3 linked regions of the Stegostoma tigrinum genome follow. The protein of the gene in region 2 interacts with the protein of the main gene of each other region in a biochemical or structural test. Links are inferred from orthologs where the notes say so. Each region holds a gene or a part of one and is shown on either strand. Other genes may lie near its edges.

The links. The genes of interacting proteins can lie anywhere in the genome.
Region 1: the proteins of raf1b (region 2) and phosphatidylethanolamine-binding protein 4 form a complex in vitro, tested with the Homo sapiens proteins (2 studies listed by BioGRID). The link is inferred for Stegostoma tigrinum from reciprocal best matches to the Homo sapiens genes RAF1 and PEBP4.
Region 3: the proteins of raf1b (region 2) and rheb form a complex in vitro, tested with the Homo sapiens proteins (3 studies listed by BioGRID and IntAct). The link is inferred for Stegostoma tigrinum from reciprocal best matches to the Homo sapiens genes RAF1 and RHEB.

Annotation. Positions count from the first base shown.
Region 1 is NC_081393.1:4,634,601-4,642,318, reverse strand, and holds the start of phosphatidylethanolamine-binding protein 4, read left to right. Parts: upstream 1-4,717; 5' UTR 4,718-4,876; coding exon 4,877-4,884; intron 4,885-6,249; exon of another isoform or gene 6,250-6,289; intron 6,290-7,718. UniProt on the Homo sapiens protein: Promotes AKT phosphorylation, suggesting a possible role in the PI3K-AKT signaling pathway.
Region 2 is NC_081364.1:25,156,054-25,163,054, forward strand, and holds the start of raf1b (RAF proto-oncogene serine/threonine-protein kinase), read right to left. Parts: upstream 3,074-7,001; 5' UTR 3,059-3,073; coding exon 3,051-3,058; intron 2,905-3,050; exon of another isoform or gene 2,292-2,904; intron 1-2,291. UniProt on the Homo sapiens protein: Serine/threonine-protein kinase that acts as a regulatory link between the membrane-associated Ras GTPases and the MAPK/ERK cascade, and this critical regulatory link functions as a switch determining cell fate decisions including proliferation, differentiation, apoptosis, survival and oncogenic transformation.
Region 3 is NC_081355.1:146,855,470-146,862,672, forward strand, and holds the start of rheb (GTP-binding protein Rheb), read left to right. Parts: upstream 1-4,202; 5' UTR 4,203-4,548; coding exon 4,549-4,600; intron 4,601-7,203. UniProt on the Homo sapiens protein: Small GTPase that acts as an allosteric activator of the canonical mTORC1 complex, an evolutionarily conserved central nutrient sensor that stimulates anabolic reactions and macromolecule biosynthesis to promote cellular biomass generation and growth.

The sequences.
Region 1 (7,718 bases), on a different chromosome or scaffold from region 2:
TAAAAAAAAACTGTTTAAACTCAGAAAAAAATTTCCTGCAGCAGTGCGACTTTTGAATTAATAAATCTGAGACATAGTCCAAGTGAACTGTCCACTTGAACTGTCCACTCTGCCATTTACAAACGAGCAGAAATATTCAGAGAGGACAAATGAGTATCAACAACCTGGAAAGCCAAAGAAGGATTATCTCAACATCGGAACTGGGAAGCCGAGACCACTGAGCTGACTTTCCAGTTTTCCATCTCTGCCAATAATCTATTTTCCAAATTTTATTTGTATAAGTGTGTAAGGGGTAGTTTATATATGTTCATAGGAAAGATGTGGATGCTTTGGAGAGGGTTCAGAGGAGGTTTACCAGGATGCTGCCTGGACTGGAGGGCTTATCTTATGAAGAGAGGTTGACTGAGCTCGATCTCTTTTCATTGGAGAAAAGGAGGAGGAGGGGGACCTAATTGAGGTATACAAGATAATGAGAGGCATAGATAGAGTTGATAGCCAGAGACTATTTCCCAGGGCAGAAATGGCTAGCACGAGGGGTCATAGTTTTAAGCTGGTTGGTGGAAAGTATAGAGGGGATGTCAGAGGCGGGTTCTTTACACAGAGAGTTGTGAGAGCATGGAATGCGTTTCCAGCAGCAGTTGTGGAAGCAAGGTCATTGGGGTCATTTAAGAGACTGCTGGACATGCATATGGTCACAGAAATTTGAGGGTGCATACATGAGGATCAATGGTCGGAACAACATTGTTGGCTGAAAGGCCTGTTCTGTGCTGTACTGTTCTATGTTCTATGTTCTATACCAATCATTTGCAATGAATAACAATCCTTGTTCAGTACAGAAACCTGGCTCATGCTTTCTGTCATCCTTGGTTTGAAAGTCAGATAAATTGGGGAACTGTGTGTTCTTTAACAAAATCTATAATCTTTTGTATGACTTTAGGAGTAGTGGGATTCAATTTGCAAAGTGCTACCCTAGTGGCTTGTAATACAGATTAATAATTTTACGCCATATTATGTTTTTTATTTGTCTCATTGCCACAATTCTACACCAGTGGCCACCATAGTCTTTCAATAAACCAACTAGATATCTATCTTGTCAGCATCATGACATCTTAATATTGTACAACAGTTTCCATTCTAATTCTGACGTTATTCACAACAGTTTAAATGAAATCCATCCTTTTGGTGCTCCAGCAGTTTGTGATTGAGAGCTGTTCTGGGGTTAAATCGATAACTCTGCATGATTAGGATAATGTCTTCTTTTTAGTGATCCAACACCAATCTGTTGCAACCTTGGTTGAACACAGTGTCCCATTAAGGGACAGCTTTTGGAGTGTAATCCCTCAACAGTACAATGGATCAAATGGTTGTGTTACATCTTCAAATTAATTTTGTAACAAGCAAAGACACTCCAGGATATGTAGTCTTTTATTTAATAGGTTCTGTGAGTGAGTCAAAGATTCAAGAAGTGATATTTTTCTGACTCAAACTATATTTGGCAGGTCATATGAAACAATCTGAAAGCTAAATGTCTGTTGAGATGAGAAAATTCTACTTGGCTTTCAGGTGTTTACTCAAAGCTGCTTAATTTTTCTCCTTCAGGTCTCAGTTGGACGTGGCATATCTCTCTCTTACATGTTTACTCCAAAATAAGATTAAAAATAATCAACATTAAAAAGAAGTAATTGAATGAACTTTGCCTCTACCTCTGTGAACATGAATTCTGCTGATACACCATTGAGTACAGCTCCTTTATCAGACAGCATATTATTTCTGCAACTGGTACAATTCAGGCTTAGGAATGTATTAACTTGTGTGTCTCTCATCTTCTGCGCCTCCAGAATATCAAGACTATATTTCAGTGAAAAATCCACTCTTTAGCCCAGAAGTTTGTTTCTTAATTCTTCATTTGTGGAATGTGGACCTTGTTAGCCAGGTCAGTATTTATTGTTCATTTCTAATTGCCCCAGGGAAAGTGGTGGTCAGCTGCCTCTTGAATCACTCCAGTACTCGGGGATGCAGGTACACCTATGGTGCTGACAGAGGGAATTGACCAGGAAATGGTGAAGAATGGTTATTAATGATGCAAATATCCCTTCCCTGGAGATGTCATGGAACATGGTGAGAAGAATAAATAAATGGGTCACTTTTTGCCACTTCAGCAAATAATTTCTGGGTGAGAAGGTCCTTCTTGATTAAGGGTTTCAATTAAGGGCTTAAGGTATTCAACCTCCACTGACCTGCTTACCTGCAGCAAGTGAACAACAAATGTAGGGAGTTCCTGACTGGGAAACGGGGGCAGTGTGCCTGCTGGGTTTGGGAGATGGAAAGTTCCTTCATTTTGCCATTCTGAGAGGGGACATTGAAGGGGAGCAGTCACTTCCTGCTGTAAACTATACTCACAAGCCTTGTCTCCAACCCTCTTCTACCATCCACTCCCTGCAACCCACACCACGACCCTGAAACCCTCCATCCGCAACACAAATAACTTACTGTCTCAAGGTTCAGCTCTTTTTGGATATGCAACCGGGAAATTCATTATCTTTATGAGTGCTGTTGCTTTCGAAGGTGCCTTGGTAAGCTGTTGCAGTGTATCTTTTACATGCCACACACTGATGTCACTGCGTGTTGATGCTAGAGGGAGTGAATGTTGAAAGTCATGACGGAGCGCTGATTAAACTGGCTGCTTTGTCCTAGCTTGTCTCGTGAATGAATGAATGAATGATTTTGTTGTCACCTGTATTTTCCAGTGAGAACAGTAAAATACAGTCCAAATCTTTTCCAATGATACTACAATACAGTGCTATTTTGAGTAGTTTTAAGAATAAGAAAAAGATGACAGCTTAACCAAAGTCCATCAATCCTGAGCCAGCTCATCATCAATGACACTTGCGCTGTTCCTCCTCCTCCACTGCTTTGCTGCTGTCTACACTCGACCCAAACACTGTTGAAGTTGCCATTCTTCAGACAGCATCTTTGCCACTAGACCTATGTCCCCAATATTTCCTATTGCAAATATAGCAACCACCGATTCTGATGCCAGATTCTGTAAGTAATGACTCAGTTGTTGCTGCCATGAGGTCCCCGCTGGGCTCACTTGGCACCATGAGTCCCCATTGTGCTCACTCAAGTCCATCCTGGGCTCTCTTGTGTCTGCACTGGGGTTCCTTGTCGCTGTCAATATTACTTGAAGTCAAGACAAGAGGTAAGTAAAAAGAAAAGCAGTCAGAGTGGATCAGCCCCAGTTCAGGAGCCCTACTCTGCTGCCATCTTGATGATGATCAAGTTACACTTGATGATGAATGTTACTGGTAATGCACTCATCTAGGCATTTGGAGATGAGTTCATGACTTGTAAATTATGAACAAGCAATGGGGGAGACAGGTGAATTACTTGCTGAAGATTTCCTAGTTTCTGGCCTACTTTTGTAGCCACTGGATTTGTCAGGTTGTTGCTTATAGGTTGCTCACTGACTGATGCTCAGCCTGAGTTCTACACACCAGGTGGTTCCTCGCGTCAGAACATCCTTGCTTCTAACTTGGACAAAAGAGTTCAACACAGAGCAGAAGTGACTGACTTCATGAGACATCAAGGCTGCATTTGATTGAATGGTGTATCAAGGAGTCCAAGCAGAATTGGAGTCAATGAGAATCAGGAGGAAATACCTCTCTGTTGGTTGGAGTTATAGCTTGCACAATGAGGATGGTTGTGGTTGTTGAGGATCAATCACCTCTGCTCCAGAACATCGCTGTACAAGCCCTTCAGGGTAGTGAGGAAGAAAGGACTGCAGCAGTACCAGAGGGCTGCCTTACCACCATTTTCTCAATGGCAATTAGGAATGGGCAATAAATGTTTATTTGGCCAGCAAAGTGCACATTCAACGTGTGAATTGAAAAAGGAGAGAATTTATCGATGCTAATGCCACTAAGTGTGAAGAAGAGATGGTGAGGATCTCTACATTTTCTCTTATTCAACTTGACTATTGCCACTCATGCATGGTGTGAATGTGACTTGCCATTTTTCAGTCCAATTGTGGATATTGTTTGGGTCTTGCTGCATGTGGACTGCTTCAGTATCTGTGAACGACGCTTATCCTTGTACAGTCATCAGCAAACATCCCCGGTTCTGATTTAATGATGGAAGAAGGGTGACCGAGGTAGCAGCCATGGGTTGGACCTTGGTCACTCCCCTGAGGAACTCCTGCAGAGGCTGGAAAGGGCTGATCAAGCTGATCTGAGTCAGGAAAACAGGCCCCGATACCGGAAGATGTTCAGTTTTGGGTGAACTGCTGGCTGGGAATTTGATACACTAATCCCAGGGAGGGCTCACTCAGAAACTTCTCAGACTCTTTGTGATGCCTCCTCTCAGGACACTGAGAGAACCCACATCCCCAGAGCCAAAAGAGATTGGCTCAGAGTCAGCTGGTTACGTCTTGCTGATTGGGGGGCAAGATCAAGTTGGTTGCGACTATTTAAATCCCGTGCATGGGCCGCACGCCATCCAAAGATTTGACAAACGCAGCTGAGACCACCACCATCGCGTGCCCAACACCATACGTCGTTTTGGTTTGGAAGGGTTAGGACAATCAGGCGGACGCGGCGAAGGGCGTGCCTGATCCAAGGTGACGGACATCGCTGGCATCCAATCGGCGCCCAGCCCCTCCAACAGCTTCGCCAACAGGAAGGCCGGGTGCGCCGTAGGGGTTGGGGAGGGGCGGGAGAATTTGCCGCCGACCGTTGGTGTTTGGGTGGCGCGTGCGCTTGTTTTTTGCTTTCGAAAAGCGTCGAGCGCGCGGGGGCCTTTTACACGCGAAGCTGCAAAGCTGTGCGTATCGCCCAGCCGGTGAACTCCGTTGGTTTTGTTGAACGGTACTGGACAAATGATGAGGTAAACTGCCCTTGTTTTCTCTGGGTGGTGGTCTGGCACTCAAAACACAATTTTTACGTGTGTTTCGAGCTTGTTGTGGACGTGCCCATGCTGTAATTCGCACATTTTTGTTCGCAGGGGAGTTTGTGCGGTGAAACAGGTGGAATTGCTTCGCGACAAGTTTTCTTTCTTTCTGCACTGGCAGCTTGTGCTAAAAATACAATGTTTGCTTCGTGCCAACTCTTGGTCTCTCTCTCTCTCTCTGTCACTGTCTTGATGGAATGACATAAGCTGCCGTCGGCCGTCTGATACATTTTTTGTCTTTATTTTCATACTTTGCCCCGAAATTTACGCACCGCTCAGCAAATGGGGTTCTGTGTTTGTTGACAACGGAACTGTCAACATGAGGAAGAGTTCGTTCCGGGTCGGATATTCCTGTCTGCATGTTGTCCCAAGGCGGATCCCGCAGAAAGACACAGAGAAGCATTGTTGGCAAACCTCTCCTGATAACAGAACATTCAGAGAACTCAAAATGGTCAGGAGGAAGAATGGACCAACGTTTGGAGACACAGCGTTTCCCAACCTGCAGATGACCTAGTGTTTGGCTGTTCGTGTGAAACAGTGCAGCCTGTTTCTGCACAACAAGACCTTACATGCAGTACCCTGATTAGGAACGGAGAATCTGTTCTTTTTTCGTTGTGTCGGTCAAGGGATATGTTTGTTCGAGGACAGCCCAGTTCTTTCAGTTAGTGCAGTGGGATTTTTTTTCCCTCCACCTCGGGTATTCTGAGTTTAAAGTCTCATCCAGAAGAAAACAACTGAACCACCTGAAGCTCTGAAAATCTATCTCCCAGCTTTAACCACCACCACCAACCTAAATATTTGCATATTTCTTGTTGCTCCCCGAAGACACCGCTTGAAATTGAAATGCAGGCAAAATACTGCAAATGCTTGAAATCTGAAATAAAAATTCAAAGTACTGGGAAACTCAGCAGCTCTAGCAGCATCTGTGGCCAGAGAAAGAGAGTTGACTCTTGAATCCAGCCTGCCTCCTTTCAGTGATAATGGGAACTGCAGATGCTGGAGAATCCAAGATAATAAAATGTGAGGCTGGATGAACACAGCAGATCCAGCAGCATCTCAGGAGCACAAAAGCTGACGTTTCGGGCCTATTATCTTTCCTCCTTTTCAGAATAGTTTTACTCCTACAAAACTGATCCTTTCCAAAGATTTCCTGAGAATGGTTCGGCATTAAGTTTTGTTTGGTAAAGCTCTGAGTGACAATATTGCCACAGAAATGCAAAGATTTGTTATTTGTTACTGCTTGTTTTGTTTGAACAAAAATGCCTCAGCTTTGGCCATTATGTTGCCATTTGTTGATTGTCAAAACACTGCTGACATTTCCGTGACATGGATACCTCAGAAGGTGATGATGATATTTACATACAAAGCACTCCATCTAACTGTGATAACAAAGTGTGGAGCTGGATGAGCACAGCAGGCCAGGCAGCATCTCGGGAGCACAAAAGCTGACGTTTCGTGCCTAGACCCTCTCTGATGAAGGGTCTAGGCCTGAAACGTCAGCTTTTGTGGTCCTGAGATGCTGCTTGGCCTGCTGTGTTCATCCAGCTCCGCACTTTGATATCTTGGATTCTCCAGCATCTGCAGTTCCCATTATCACCACATCTAACTCTCATAGTTTCACTTGGGTCCATGAATTTCTTCGCATACACACAGTTCAGATCTGATGCCAGCTTTTTTCTGTGAGGAAACTAATCCAGATATCAGAAAACCTTGTGGTTTTCACTTTCATATTGTTTGTAATACCTTCGTGAGGTTTTCTGAATGATCTCTCTTTTAAAGTAGTGTTTCAAAGAAATGGCTTTTAGTTGGTCTGAAAATTGGCATTCTCCAGCTGCAAAGTTTGGCACTTGAAAATCAGGAAGACAGTAACACTTCTTGAATTTTGTTGATCAATATACTGAACCCACCAGTTCTATAAGTGATAATGGGAACTGCAGATGCTGGAGAATCCAAGATAATAAAATGTGAGGCTGGATGAACACAGCAGGCCCAGCAGCATCTCAGGAGCACAAAAGCTGATGTTTTGGGCCTGGACCCTTCATCAGAGAAGGGGATGGGGTGAGGGTTCTGGAATAAATAGGGAGAGAGGGGGAGGCGGACCGAAGACGGAGAGAAAAGAAGATAGGTGGAGAGGAGAGTATAGGTGGGGAGGTAGGGAGGGGATAGGTCAGTCCAGGGAAGACAGACAGGTCAAGGAGGTGGGATGAGGTTAGTAGGTAGGAGATGGAGGTGTGGCTTGGGGTGGGAGGAAGGGATGGGTGAGAGGAAGAACAGGTTAGGGAGGCAGAGACAGGTTGGACTGGTTTTGGGATGCAGTAGGTGGAGGGGAAGAGCTGGGCTGGTTGTGTGGTGCAGTGGCGGGAGGGGATGAACTGGGCTGGTTTTGGGATGCGGTGGGGGAAGGGGAGATTTTGAAGCTGGTGAAGTCCACATTGATACCATTGGGCTGCAGGGTTCCCGTGCGGAATATGAGTTGCTGTTCCTGCAACCTTCGGGTGGCATCGTTGTGGCACTGCAGGAGGCCCATGATGGACATGTCATCTAGAGAATGGGAGGGGGAGTGGAAATGGTTTGCAACTGGGAGGTGTAGTTGTTTATTGCGAACCGAGCTGAGGTGTTCTGCAAAGCGGTCCCCAAGCCTCCACTTGGTTTCCCCAATGTAGAGGAAGCCACACTGGGTACAATGGATGCAGTATACCACATTGGCAGATGTGCAGGTGAACTTCTGCTTAATATGGAACGTCATCTTGGGGCCTGGGATAGGGGTGAGG
Region 2 (7,001 bases):
ACAATTAGTTGACCAATAAATTTAGCCAGCTGTGGAATAATACCACGTTCTATTTATATTCTATGTATTTTATGTATGCAGTAGTTACCACCTATGGTGAAATAAGTACTCCTACAAACATCCAAATTCCTGCATTGTTTACCTGTTATGTGTCAAGATCTAGATAAGTCTTTCCCAGTGTGACCTTATTTCTACAATTGACCTACCCAAGGCTGTACCAGCATAAACAGTGACTGTTGTTTATGGGTCGTTATTCACAGAACAGTAACTGAATGCAAATTTATGTAACTCCTATTCATAGGGTCACACAAAGAAATACCAGTCTTTCTGCAGTTCCATTCTCACATATTTAAGCAAGGACAGCATCAGAATTGGTGGTGTATTTTAGGCTGTTGTGTACAGATTGCTTGCCAGATCAACAGCACAAAACACAGTGGATCTCTTTGTATAGTCCTCCAACATTTCCTGGTCTGATATATAATGTTATGAAAGATTGTTGATATTTCATTCACAAATAAAACATCCCAATTACAAAATGTTTTCTTGTTCAACCCCACAAATAATCGTAGGAGTGGTAGGGAGATAGTCCATTGTGTACTATGGCGCACAATATTCCCACATCCATTTAGAAAGGTGCCCCCAGGGATCACTACAGACAAAAATCAGAATCATCACTGTGGTAGTCACATGACACCATACTTTTCAGTGTTACATCCTGAGTGTCTTATCAAACAGATATGTGAATCAACACAGACACTCTAAATGATTCCCAAAACTGAAGACCAAGGACAGGTTTGGGTCAGTTCTGGGAGATTTATATTTTTGTACTTCCAGTTCACAAAATAAAAGGTACACTCTTCTCAATCTCAAATGAGTTTCCACTTAATTTTATGTGTGCCTCAATGTTTACTGTGTTACCTTCAATTTTATAGTGTAAATACCAGAAAAATACATTTACCAAATATCAAAATCTCAATTGCAAGCAATGCTACGCAGGAGAAAGTGCTGGTAGCCAATTATCAGCAAACTGCCTGAAACTGGAGGTAATATTTACCTATTTTTAAACATATTAAACTGGATACAACAACAAACAGCAATGTGTTGTTTTATATAAAAATGTGTGAATCGACAGCATGCGAGAGGGATTCTGCATAAGTGGATAGAATAAGTGTAGAATTTACACTGGTGTAATGTTTTGTGGGCCTGCTGACTGAACTGCCTTCAACTTAAAAAAAAAGCTTAGAGCTATTTCGGCAGTTTCAAGGAAGTCTGGCTCCTAGTGATCGAAAGAATGATACCGCACTGCCATTATCATGCTTCGATCTGTTTGATCCAGGTTTACATCCAAAGACTTCAGTTAATGATCGATTAGTACGAAAGGATCTCTACGTCTGGAGTTTATTTCCAGAATGGGTGTTTCCCCCTTTTGGAAGCCTCGCACGACAGAACCACTTGCCTAAGAGTTGGGTGAAAATTCGCAACCCCACCCACCACCAAACCCAGCCCAAACCACGTACAGACAGACACTCACACATACAGTCACAGACCACCACCATCGTGCCTGTGTGTCATTCAGGACACGCGTGAATGCTTTCTGAATCGTACACGTGAGAATTCTCTCCGCTCACTTGAAACAAGTAAACCTTCTCACAGTCACACGGCAGATTAGTTAGCGAGAGTGACAACCCTCTGGAGTGGAGTCACTGGCGAGGTGTTTGGATTTTTCAACCGAATGAAACCCCGGCGTGTGTTGACGGTGTTCTTGCTCGAATAAATATCGTGTGGGCGAACCAGACCATTTTTATTTTCTCTCTCTGTCTCTCTCTGTCTCTGTGCCCCTCGAAATATTCTGAGTTTACTTGGTCCAACCACCACCTCCTACCCCCGCCCCGCCACCGCCACCAGCACTACCTCCTCCGAACTCGGTGGATTTTGAAAAGATGTGAAGCGCACAATAGATCGAGTTAGTGTAACAGAGGCGAAAGCAATCGCGCTGACCCTGGGCACTCAGACAGACTGCACAATGTGTGCACAACTTCTACAATGGTCGCTGCGTGTTACCGCCAAGAGGGAAACGGCCTTACGCCGAGCAGTCTTTTCGGGTCGAGGAAGGTGGGGAAGGAAAACTTAAAAGAAAACAGATATTTTTGGGACCGGCCTACAAGCTCGACGCTTTGGGCCCTCCTGCAAAGAGGGACAGCCACCCGCAGCAACCAACAACAAAATAAAACCAGACAAGAGGGAACAAACGGCGGCTTTAACCCTTTCCCAGTGCACCCAACCGCACTCACACTTTCACCGATCGCTGTCCCTTTAAAGGTCGAGGGAGCCGGGTGAGGACTCGGCGCCGATCCCCGCTGCCGTGTTGGAGATCCGAAGGTTGGCCAACTCTCTCAAGTTGACCTCCGCCATAACTAAGCGAGAAAGTTGTCGCCCGCTGACATCATCATATTCCCCCACTTGCACACTGGTTCCCACACACTCTGGCCAACTGCTGCGATCACAGGCTCCGTTCACATCGCAGCCCTGCGTGCAGGATGCCGGAAGAGCTAGGATATTCGCGATTCCAATGCAGGAGAACGGTCGTCCTCTCAAACCATTTGCGCGAGTCTGCAAACTCGCCTCCCCCACCCCATTGAATGGGAGCTAAATACCTGCTCCGGCACTCACACACGGTCTAAAGAGAAGCAACTATCAGGTCACGGGCACTGGAAAAGATGCATTGCTTTTCGTGAGAGGAGCATAAACACCAAAAAGTTCCTCAGACCCTTGGAGACGGACATAGAACAATAAAAGTCTCCCTCACACCGAAGACAAATGAGTCAGAGAAAGGTGTAGTGTTTGGTAAATTAATTTGCAAAGTACATTAAAGTTTTCTCTCTGCTCTTCCAACGTTAAGAAATGTGAGTTTGGATGACGTCAGACAGTTGAAATAAGATAGTGGATTTACAGCCATCGTCAGCCTGTTGCCAGGCTTTAGGGACACTGCACTGCAAATAGCAAGTGAAATTCCACCGAGGTCATTTGACCACTCCATCCTGTTAGCTTACCTCGGCATGTTTGGAAATGAGAGTGTCTTGTAGCTGTCGGTCGAAACAACCACCCTGACACGCACAAAAAAACAATTATAACATCATTGTGTCCGTCTCTGGCTTGTTCAGAGAGTCCAACTGAGCAGCTGAACACGCTAAAGACCATTTATATATGTTTTTTAAAAAGCATGTGCTGGAAATCTGATCACGAACGGAAAATGCTGAGGACACACTCAGGTCAATCAGTATAGGTGGAGAGGGCAGATACGCCAGCCTTTCAGTTATAATCAGCCCTGAACCGCTGAGTATTGGCACCATTTTCCGCTTTTCAAAGTGAATTTGACGCCTTGCGCTGGGAACCTCGGCGCATCACATTGTCCACTCTGGACTCAGGTGTAGAACTCATACCTGTTGAGTATTACGTGTATTTTCAGTTTCTATTTCAGATTTCCAGCATCTACGGCATTTTGCATTTGTTTGCAGTTGTACTGTTGCTTTTAAACGGTTCCTCATTGAAAAAACAAATCTATTCCAAATAATTTTGCTGCCCCCATCAAACTTTTTGTCTAATACTTTAAATTTCTTATCTAAGTAAACATTTAAAATTCTCAATTGCACAGAACGTTAGTCAATTCCTTGTGGTATGCCAGTAAATCAGTTTAGATCAAGAAGAGAAGATAATTGAACTGGGCCATGTAGATGAAAGATTGGGATCTGATGAATTTAGGCTCAGGCAAAGACCAGGATTTGACCTGGAAGACTTATCACATCCAAGCCCTATTTATGCATACTGTTTATTTTCTGCCAACCAGTCAGTTTTCTATCAATGCATTACACACCATGAGTTTTTATTTTCTGCAAATACCATTTATGTGCCACCTTATCAAATGCCATCTGGAAATCCAAGTCCAGCTCATCTGCAGGTTTACAATTATCCACAGACCATGGAACTCCATCAAAGAACTCCAACAAATTGGCTAAACATGATTTCTCTTTGATGAAATGATGTTGACTCTTGCTGACTACTTCATGTTTTTCTAAGGTATAATCCCTTTCATAATTCCAATGCCTTCCAGATATCAGATGTCACGTTACTTGGTCTACATACAGCCTTTCTCCTTCTTGAATAAAATGATTATATTTGCTACAAAAACAGAAGTTGCTGGAAAACGTCAGCAGGTCTGGCAGCATCTGTGAAGAAAAAAATCAGAGTTAACATTTCGGGTCCAGTGACCCTTCACAGATGCTGCCAGACCTGCTGAGCTTTTCCAGCAACTTCTGTTTTTGTTCCTGATTTACAGCATCCACCATTTTGATTGATTATATTTGCTACTTTCTTGAGATATAATGAAGAAAATAATGTGTTAATGTGACAATTAATAGTGCAACTCCAGTGAGCTACTGTAACTGTCTCGTGGTTTATCAGACTGTTTAGACCCTTATTATCCTATTCATTGCTGGACTGAGCTTTCAACGTATCTTCCTTCTGTCAGAAAGACATCTACTTCCAATTCATTATGTAATCCATTTACACGCTGGTCAAGTCAAAAAGGAAATTTCTGCTGAAACTCTTGTTCACACCACTGTCATCTTCAGATTCAATTACTCCAAAGATTTTCTAGGTCCAATACTGCTTTCATCTCTGCTAAAATAGAGATCAGTATGAATCCAAGCTACTATTATGACGTTGTTGTAAAGAGATGCTGACTTGCACTTTTTAAAATGTCAACTTCCATGCAATAAGTTTGAAATTAAATATGATTGAACACAGAACAGCCTTAAAACAAGTGCATATTATGATATATAACTACATAGTTATTACAATACCTTTAGTGCTGGAAAGTGACGATTTAGTATATCTTTGCCAGTACAGACTTCTTGGGCCACAATTGTCATTTTAAAGAAAGCTACTGAGCCAGTACCTATTGTTGATTATGTTTAAATGTTTAACTGAGGCAATTTTCTAACTACACAACCAATCTTTCAATACGGTTTCGATATGTAATTGATTATACATGAATAAACCTTTAGGGAAGGAATCTTCCATCCTTACCTGGTCTGGCCTACACGTGACTCCAGACCCACAGCAATGTGTTGACTCTTAACTGCCCTCTGGGCAATTAGGGATGGGCAATAAATGCGGCATATCCAGCAACACCCTCATCCTGTGAATGAATAAAAAAAACATGGCAACATTAATTTATTAGTACCTTTACTGCACTAAGTTATCCAACATAATTTTTCTGGTGTATATCAAACAAAATGTAGTAACAAACTACACATAGAAATGTACGAGAGATATTAAGTAGATTTTAAGGATTGTCTTAAAGCAGGAAAGAGGGGAAATATGTGATTTAGGGAGGAAACATAACCATCCTGGAGGTTAACTTTGACCAGAAAGTGAACTCGACTACCCTTATAAATAACAGCAGAAAATGCTGGAGAAAATCACCAGGTTTGGCAGCATCTGTTGAAACAGAGATAGAGTTAATGTTTCAAGTCTAATATTACTCTTCTTCAGAACAGAGGATGGCATGATGGCTCAGTGGTTAGCACTACTGCCTCAGTGTGTTGGACCCAGGTTTGATTCCACCTTCATTTGGCTGTCTGTGTGGAGTTTGCACATTCTCTCTGTGTCTGGCTGGGTTTCCTTCCACAGTCCAAAGATGTGCAAGTTAAGTGGATTGGCCATGCTAAATTGTTCTATAGTGTCCAGGGATGTGCAGGCTAGGTGGGTTAGACATGGGAAAAGCAGAGTTACAGGGATGGGGTAGGTCAGGGTGGGATTGCTGTTTGGGGTGGTGGTGTGGGCTTGATGGGAATGGCCTGCTTTCACACTGTAGGGATTTGATGATGATATTTTATTCGAAACTTTAAATCTGTTGCTCTCCCTCCACAGATGCTGCCAGACCTGCTGAGTTTCTCCAGGATTTTCTGTTTATTTCAAATTTCCAACATTTGAAATATTTTGCTTTTATTTGAGTAGCCACACATATACTGTAGCTCCAAGAATAGGTCAGAGGCTGGCAATCCTGCAGCAACTCATTTCCTGACTCCCTGGAGGGAAGCCTGCCTACCACCTCTAAAGCATAAAACGGGAATGCAATGGATTACTCCTTACTTATCTGGAAAAGTGCAGCTTCAGCAACACTCAATAAGTTTAACACCATCCAGAACAAAGCAGCCTGCTTCAATAGTGCCACATCCACAAATATTCACTTCCTCCATCACCGATGCTCAGTAAGTGTGGTGTGTACCATCAACAAGATGCACTACAGTAGCTCACCAAGGCTCCTTAGATAACATCTTCCAGACTCACAAATGTTACCACCTGGAAGGGCATCAACAGAAGGTACATGAAACACCACCACCTGTAAGTTCCATTCTAAGCCACTCACCATCTTGACTTGGAAATATAATGCCAATTCTTCAATGTCGCTGGGCCAAAATCCTAAAATTGCGCGCATGACAGCATTGTGGGTATAACTAACCAAATGAAATGCAGCAGTTCAAGAAGCCAATTCACCACCACCTTCTCAAAGGCAATTAGGGATGGGCAATAAGTGCTGGCCCAGCCAATGACATGCCCATCCTATGAATGAATGAAAAAAAAGTTTTATGATCTTGGTAATGGATACACAATCATCAGTGATGGAGTGATGAAAATTTTAAGTGCTCAAGAGATAAGAATTGGAGGTTGCGCTCTTTGGAGAATGGGAGGAGATTACAGAGCTAGGGAGCAATGAGATGAAGGAGGGATCTAAAAACAAGGATAAGAATTTAAAAAGCAGAAACCTATGCGGGCTAGCATGCACAAAGGTTACAGTCGAATCAAATTTGGTACACGTTGGGACATGAAAAGTTTTCAAGAAGGAACTAGATACATTCATAGGACTAAAGGGATCAAATAGTATGGGGAGAAAGAGGGAACAGTCTACCGAGTTGGCTGATTGGACATAATTATGTTGA
Region 3 (7,203 bases), on a different chromosome or scaffold from region 2:
TATTTCAATGCTACAAGTATCAGAAATAATGCGGATGAACTTAGAGCACGAGTCGGTCTTGGAACTACAATGTTGTGGCCATTCCAGAAACTTGGGTAACTCAGGGAGAGGAACGGCTGCTGGAGGTTCTGGGATTTAGATGCTCTAAAAGAAATAGGGTGAGGGGAAAAAGAAACGGGGCAGTTGCACTGCTAGCCAGGGCTAATATAGCAGCTACTGAAACACAGTTCGAGAATGATATGTCGAGAGAGTCAGTTTGGTTTGAGGTCCAGAACAACAAAGGAGCAGTCACTTTGTTGGGGTTTTTTTTAAAAACAGATCCCCCTAATAGTTGTAGAGAAGTGGAGAAGCAGATTGGGAGGCAGATACTGGAAAGGTGCAGAAGTCACAGGGTTGTAACCACGGGTGACTTCAACTTTCCAAATATTGATTGGAAACATTTTAGTTGTAATAGTTTAGATGGAGCGGATTTTGTCCAGTGCTTTCAAGAAGGATTCCTGACACATTATGTAGATAGACCAACACAAGGAGAGGGCAAGATAATAAAATGTGAGGCTGGATGAAGACAGCAGGCCCAGCAGTATCTCAGGAGCACAAAAGCTGACGTTTCGGGCCTAGACCCTTCATCAGAGAGGGGGATGGGGTGAGGGTTCTGGAATAAATAGGGAGAGACGGGGAGGCGGACCGAAGTTGGAGAGAAAAGAAGATAGGTGGAGAGGAGAGTATAGGTGGGGAGGTAGGGAGGGAATAGGTCAGTCCAGGGAAGACGGACAGGTCAAGGAGGTGGGATGAGGTTAGTACGTAGGAGATGGAGGTGCGGCTTGGGATGGGAGGAAGGGATGGGTGAGAGGAAGAACAGGTTAGGGAGGCAGTGACAGGTTGGACTGGTTTTGGGATCCAGTGGGGGGGAGAGCTGGGCTGGTTGTGTGGTGCAGTGGGGGGAGGGGACGAAGTGGGCTGGTTTTGGGATGCGGTGGGGGAAGGGGAGATTTTGAAGCTGATGAAGTCCACATTGATACCATTGGGCTGCAAGGTTCCCAAGCGGAATATGAGTTGCTGTTCCTGCAACCTTCGGGTGGCATCATTGTGGCACTGCAGGAGGCCCATGATGGACATGTCATCTAAAGAATGGGAGGGGGAGTGGAAATGGTTTGCAACTGGGAGGTGCAGTTGTTTATTGCGAACCGAGCGGAGGTGTTCTGCAAAGCGGTCTGCAAGCCTCCGCTTGGTTTCCCCAATGTAGAGGAAGCCACACCGGGTACAGTGGATGCAGTATACCACATTGGCAGATGTGGAGGTGAACCTCTGCTTAATGTGGAAAGTCATCTTGGGGCTTGGGATAGGGATGAGGGAGGAGGTGTGGGGGCAAGTGTAGCATTTCCTGCGGTTGCAGGGAAAGGTGCCGGGTGTGGTGAGGTTGGAGGGCAGTGTGGAGTGAACAAGGGAGTCACGGAGAGAGTGGTCTCTCCGGAAAGCAGACAGGGGTGGGGATGGAAAAATGTCTTGGGTGGTGGGGTCGGATTTTAGATGGCGGACGTGTCGGAGGATGATGCGTTGTATCCGGAGGTTGGTGGGGTGGTGTGTGAGAACGAGGGGGATCCTCTTTGGATCCCATAACCAGCCCAGCTTGTCCCCTCCCCCCACTGCACCACACAACCAGCCCAGCTCTTCCCCTCCACCCACTGCATCCCAAAACAAGTCCAACCTGTCTCTGCCTCCCTAACCTGTTCTTCCTCTCACCCATCCCTTCCTCCCACCCCAAGCCGCACCTCCATCTCCTACCTACTAACCTCATCCCACCTCCTTGACCTGTCTGTCTTCCCTGGACTGACCTATCCCCTCCCTACCTCCCCACCTATACTCTCCTCTCCACCTATCTTCTTTTCTCTCCATCTTCAGTCCGCCTCCCCGTCTCTCCCTATTTATTCCAGTTCCCTCTCCCTGTCCCCCTCTCTGATGAAGGGTCTAGGCCCGAAACGTCAGCTTTTGTGCTCCTGAGATGCTGCTGGGCCTGCTGTGTTCATCCAGCCTCACATTTTATTATCTTGGATTCTCCAGCATCTGCAGTTCCCATTATCACTGATACAAGGAGAGGGCATTTTGGATTTGGTGCTTCACAATGAACTGGGCCGAACGTGAGATCTGTTGGCAGGAAAGCATTTCGGCAGTAGTGATCATAACTCTGTTAATTTTACAATACTCATGGAAAAGGATAGGTACATACAGCAGAGTAAGGTTTATAATTGGGGTGGGGGGAGAAGGGTAATTACAATTCCGTTAGGCAAGAACACGGTAACTAAATTGAGAACAGATGCTGTCAGGGAAGAGCACTATCGAAATGTGGAGATTGTTTATGGAATGCATACAGCGTGTGCTCGATGTGTTTGCCCCTGGCAGTAAGGGAAGACGCGGTCACGTGAAGGAGCGCTGGTTCTCATGAGAGGTCGAATGTCTGGTTAAGAGGATGCTTATGTAAGGATTAGGAAACAAGGATTGGAAAAGGCTCTAGAGGGATACAAGTTTTCCAGGAAGGAGCTGAACAAAGAGCTTAGGAGAGCTATAAGGGGGCATGAGAAAACCTTGGTGGATAGGATCAAGGAAAACTTCAGGCCTTTTTACACATACGTGAGAAATAAGAGAACGACCAGAGAAAGGGTAGGGCCAATCAAGGATTGTAAAGGGAATTTGTGCACAGAGCGTAAAGAGATCGGAGAGGTCCTGAATGAATACTTTTCTTCGATATTCACAACTGAGAGGGACCCAGTTGTAGAGGAGTACAGTCTGAAACAGGCTGGTAGGCTAGAGGAGATCGATGTTGGTAAGGAAGATGTACCAGGAATTTTGAGGGAGTTGAAAATAGATAAGTACCCCAGGACTGATGGGATTTATCCAAGGATTCTATGGGAAGCAAGGGAAGAGATCACAGGGCCTTTGGCGATGATCTTTTCACCCTCACTGTCCAAGGATATAGTGCCGGATGATTGGAGAGAGAGAAACAACATTCCCTTGTTCAAAAACGGGAATAGGGATAACCCTGGAAATTACAGGCCAATTACTCTTACGTCAGTGATGGGCAAATTATTGGAAAGGGCTCTGAGATATAGGATTTATGATCACTTGGATAGGCACAACTTGATTTGTGATAGTCAGCATGAATTTGTGAGGCGTAGATCTTGCCTCACAAACCTTATTGAATTCTTTGAAGAGGTTATCAAACACGTGGATGAAGGTGGAGCAGTGGATGTGGTATACATGGTTTTAAGTAAGGTGTTTGATAAGGTTCCCCATGGTAGGCTTTTGCAGAAGGTAAGGAGGCATGGGATAGGCGGAAATGTGGCAGATTGGATTCAGAATTGACTGACCCTAAGAAGGCAAAGGATGGCAGTGGATGGAAAATATTCAACATGGTGCTCAGTTATGAGTGGTGTACCACAAAGACCTGTCCTGGGTTCTCTTCTGTCTGTTGCTCTGACTTTTAGAAGGGGAGCACAATGGCTCGGGGGTTGGCACTGCTGCCTCACAGCACCAGGGACCCAGGTTCAATGCCAGCCTCAGGTGACTGTGTGGAGCTTGCACATTCTTCCTGTGTCTGAGCGGGTTTCCTTCGGGTGCTCCGGTTTCCTTCCATAGTCCAAAGATATGCAGGCTAGGTGGATTGCCCATACTAAATTGTCCATAATAACCAGGGATGCGCACACTTGGTGGATTAGCCAATGGGAAATACAGGGTAACAAAGTGTGGAGCTGGATGAACACAGCAGGCCAAGCAGCATCTTAGGAGCACAAAAGCTGACATTTCGGGCCTAGACCTAAAATACAGGGTTACAGAGTTGGGTAAGGGCGTGGGTCTGAGTGGGATGCTCGTCGGAGGCTCGGTCCAGACTCGATGGGCCAAATGGCCTATTTCCACACTGTAAGGAATTCACTAAAGGGAGGGAATCAAATGAACTTCAATTCCCAGCAATCAGCGCGAGATGCGCGTGTTGGGTAGGGCTTGAGAACGGGGCGGGGTGAACAGACCAGCCGCCAGCGTTGCTGAGAAACCAACACTTGCCCTGCGCGCAGCCGGCACACTGAGGCATGGGAAGGCGGAGTGGGCGGGGAGATATATGATTGACGCACGTTTCAGCCAATCGATACGTGGAAGAAAACGTTAGGCCGGCGGGGTTAGTCCAATAGGCGGCGGTGAGGGGGTGGGTCCTGCCTGTTGGAAGGTTCCGGTTGAATCTGGTGAAGGGGAAAGGGGGCCGGAGCTGCGCCACTACGCGTTTAGAGAGCCCAAAAATAGCAAATACCTGACAGATCATACCTCAGTAGAACAGAAATTACCATTGATTGTGTTTTTTGTTGCTTTCTAAACTCCGTATTTCTTAAAAGAAATCCATGTAGATTAATTTATTGAGGTATTAAGTTCCCACCCCTCCCCCTACTTTTTTTCCTGGGGGGGTTGTCGGCCTGTAATTTGAATTCTTTTAAAAAGGAAATAACAACAGAAACATTTTTTAAAATATAAAAAAGTACTTTTTTTGGCTTGAACCTCGTTGTTAACATGCCACAACCGAAGTCCCGTAAGGTTGCGATATTAGGATACAGATCTGTGGGTGAGTAAAAAGCGTTTGGCACAGCCCAGCCTGTGCACTGAGTGAGCAGTTAACCCAGAGACGGCAGTGCTCTCATCATTTGCAAACATTCGTGCTTGTTCTGCAAGGTCTTGCAACCAGTTTTTATATAGCTGTGCATTGATATGGGGTTAGTAGAGACATCTTAACGTCATTATTACTTGTTATGGAAAATGCTCCAGCTCGATTTTTCTTTTAAAAAATGTTTCCACAAGCTTAGACGTTATTGCTTGTTACACAAGGTCTTGAGAGGAATTTTCATGTGTCTGTGAATAAGACACTGATCTGCATGGTCAGACTAAGACATTCCCGCTTGCTGTATGGAATTTTGTAGCTACGTATTATGTATCACTATTTTCATGAACTCGTTATTTGGGGCCGTTACACCTTTACAAGATCGTGTAATCTTCGCAAATTTGTGTAGGCTGAGCAGGAAGCTGAAAGACGTTGGTTGTTTTCGAAAATCTTGCAACTAGTTGTCCTATATCAGTATTTCCTTAATTTAATCATTTCATGACATTATTGCTTGATCCAGAATATTCCGCAACTGTTTAGATTGTATTTATACATTAGCATAAAACCAAAGATTAAATCTCTGGAATAACTAACCTCGTGTAATGGCTGACTTTCCTTCCTCCCTCAACCTTTACTTTGTTTTACCACGGAATGGTGGTTTGTTACTGGTTTTAGTAACTAATGTTGCTGCCAACAACTCTTAAAGTCTCTTCTCGATTTTAAAAAAACTTTATTAGATTAACTAGCCTTATGCTACGATTGACCATATTCTTTACCAGGATGGAGAACTTTTGTTTTGTATAGTGCGTCGGTGTGATGCATGTTAAATGTGTTTTTCTGGTTTGTTCCAGCGACGTTAATTCACAAAGGAATTCTCTAGGAAACCTAACCCCACGTAATGACTGTCCTTTTACTTCCCCTCCCCCATTCGTTAGCTTTGTTTTAGCTTTTCAGTGACAGCTGGTAGAGAAATAAGCGTTATTACGGTGTGTTTCTTGGAATTTCTGTTTGTGGAGTGCCTTTTAATAAAATATTACAGACTGTAATCGGTAATTTTTGTTTTAAAAGTAGTTTTCTCTGCAAATGTTAACATTGCATAACTACTTTGCGACGTAAATTTCGACTTAAACGTGGTTGGATACACGAGAGGCAATTAGTTCAGTGAAACCTGGTGGATTCGGCTTTTTAAATAGCCGTTCCTTACGGTAAATGGGCCTTTTACCATCGCTCAATGTCGCAATGGCAGATTTTACCCTTTAATTTTAGTCATCTATTTCAGTGTATTATGTTGCGTTAATTTAGTGATGCAGTTTGAACAATGAAGGTTGTTTTACAACAAGTCATTTACCTGAGGGAAAAATGCATTTATGTAATCTGTGCAGGATTTCAATTTTAGATTATTAGTATGTTGGGATTTAATACCAAGCTATTAAAGGTTTAGAAACATAAATTTAAGCAGTGATACTGTCAGCAGAAATAAATGCCTTGATGCATTAAAGCTGAACAGCCAGGAGGATTTTGCTGCAGTTTTCTAATGTTTCAGGCTATCCAGATATCGGCTGCTATCTAAATGTTTATGATCATAGCAATAGATTATTGCCTAATGCAGCAATTGCCTTGCTAATGTTGTGATTCATTTTGGAGCACCCCATGTTTGGCATGCTTTCTGGATGTGGACATAGCAAATGGACTACTTTGAGGGTTATGACTTCTTTTGGTGTATTTTTGGAATCATGAGCCCTTTCTAGCTAAGGAACGTTGTATAGCATATTACCCTTGGAATTCTGTGGCTTTGAAATGTAAACGTTTTTCTGTTGCTGAAAAATTCCTAGCACTTGCATGGAACAGATTAATTCAGTTAGGACCTGGTCATTTTTGCAATTGTGCAGGTTGCCTTGATGAATTTAAACAAATTTAAGCAGTGTTTTTACAAGTATTTCATAGCAAAACAATTTCAACTAAATAGTAAAATAATGGTAAATGCGAGTATGTAAAATCAAGGCCATTGACATGACACTGATAAAATAGCCTGTTTTGCTCAGTGTGTAGTGTCATTCCAGTCCTGAGTTGCGTTATGTCTGTGAAATGTACTCCAACGTGTTGTTGTCATCATACACACAGGTTTTTAAAAAAAAAATTAGCCTGTATTTGTGTATTAGAGTGGGCAGACAGAACAAGCTCTGACAATTGAACCATGATTGGAATCAAAGCTGTGTTGATTTTGTCATTTGGATTATATTGAAAGTGAAATTTCATGTGGCACGTTGCAGTATCAGTGTTCAATCTAATAATCAGGCTTCTGTGGTTCACCTATGGTGTGGCTAACACCAGTTCGCTGTAAACTTACACTAGTTGGAGAATCTTGTATTACTTACAACTAGCTCTCTTTTCAGAATCTTACAGATCTTTTAAAGTAAAGTATTCCTAACTTTTGGGCATTAGCTTGGGCCATCTGGATGTTTAGTTTTTGCCATTGCTTTGACGACACATACTTCATTGCCCTTGCAATAAAGGCCAGTATTCTATAGATCTTCCTAATCATTTATATCACGAAGTTAACATGCACCTAT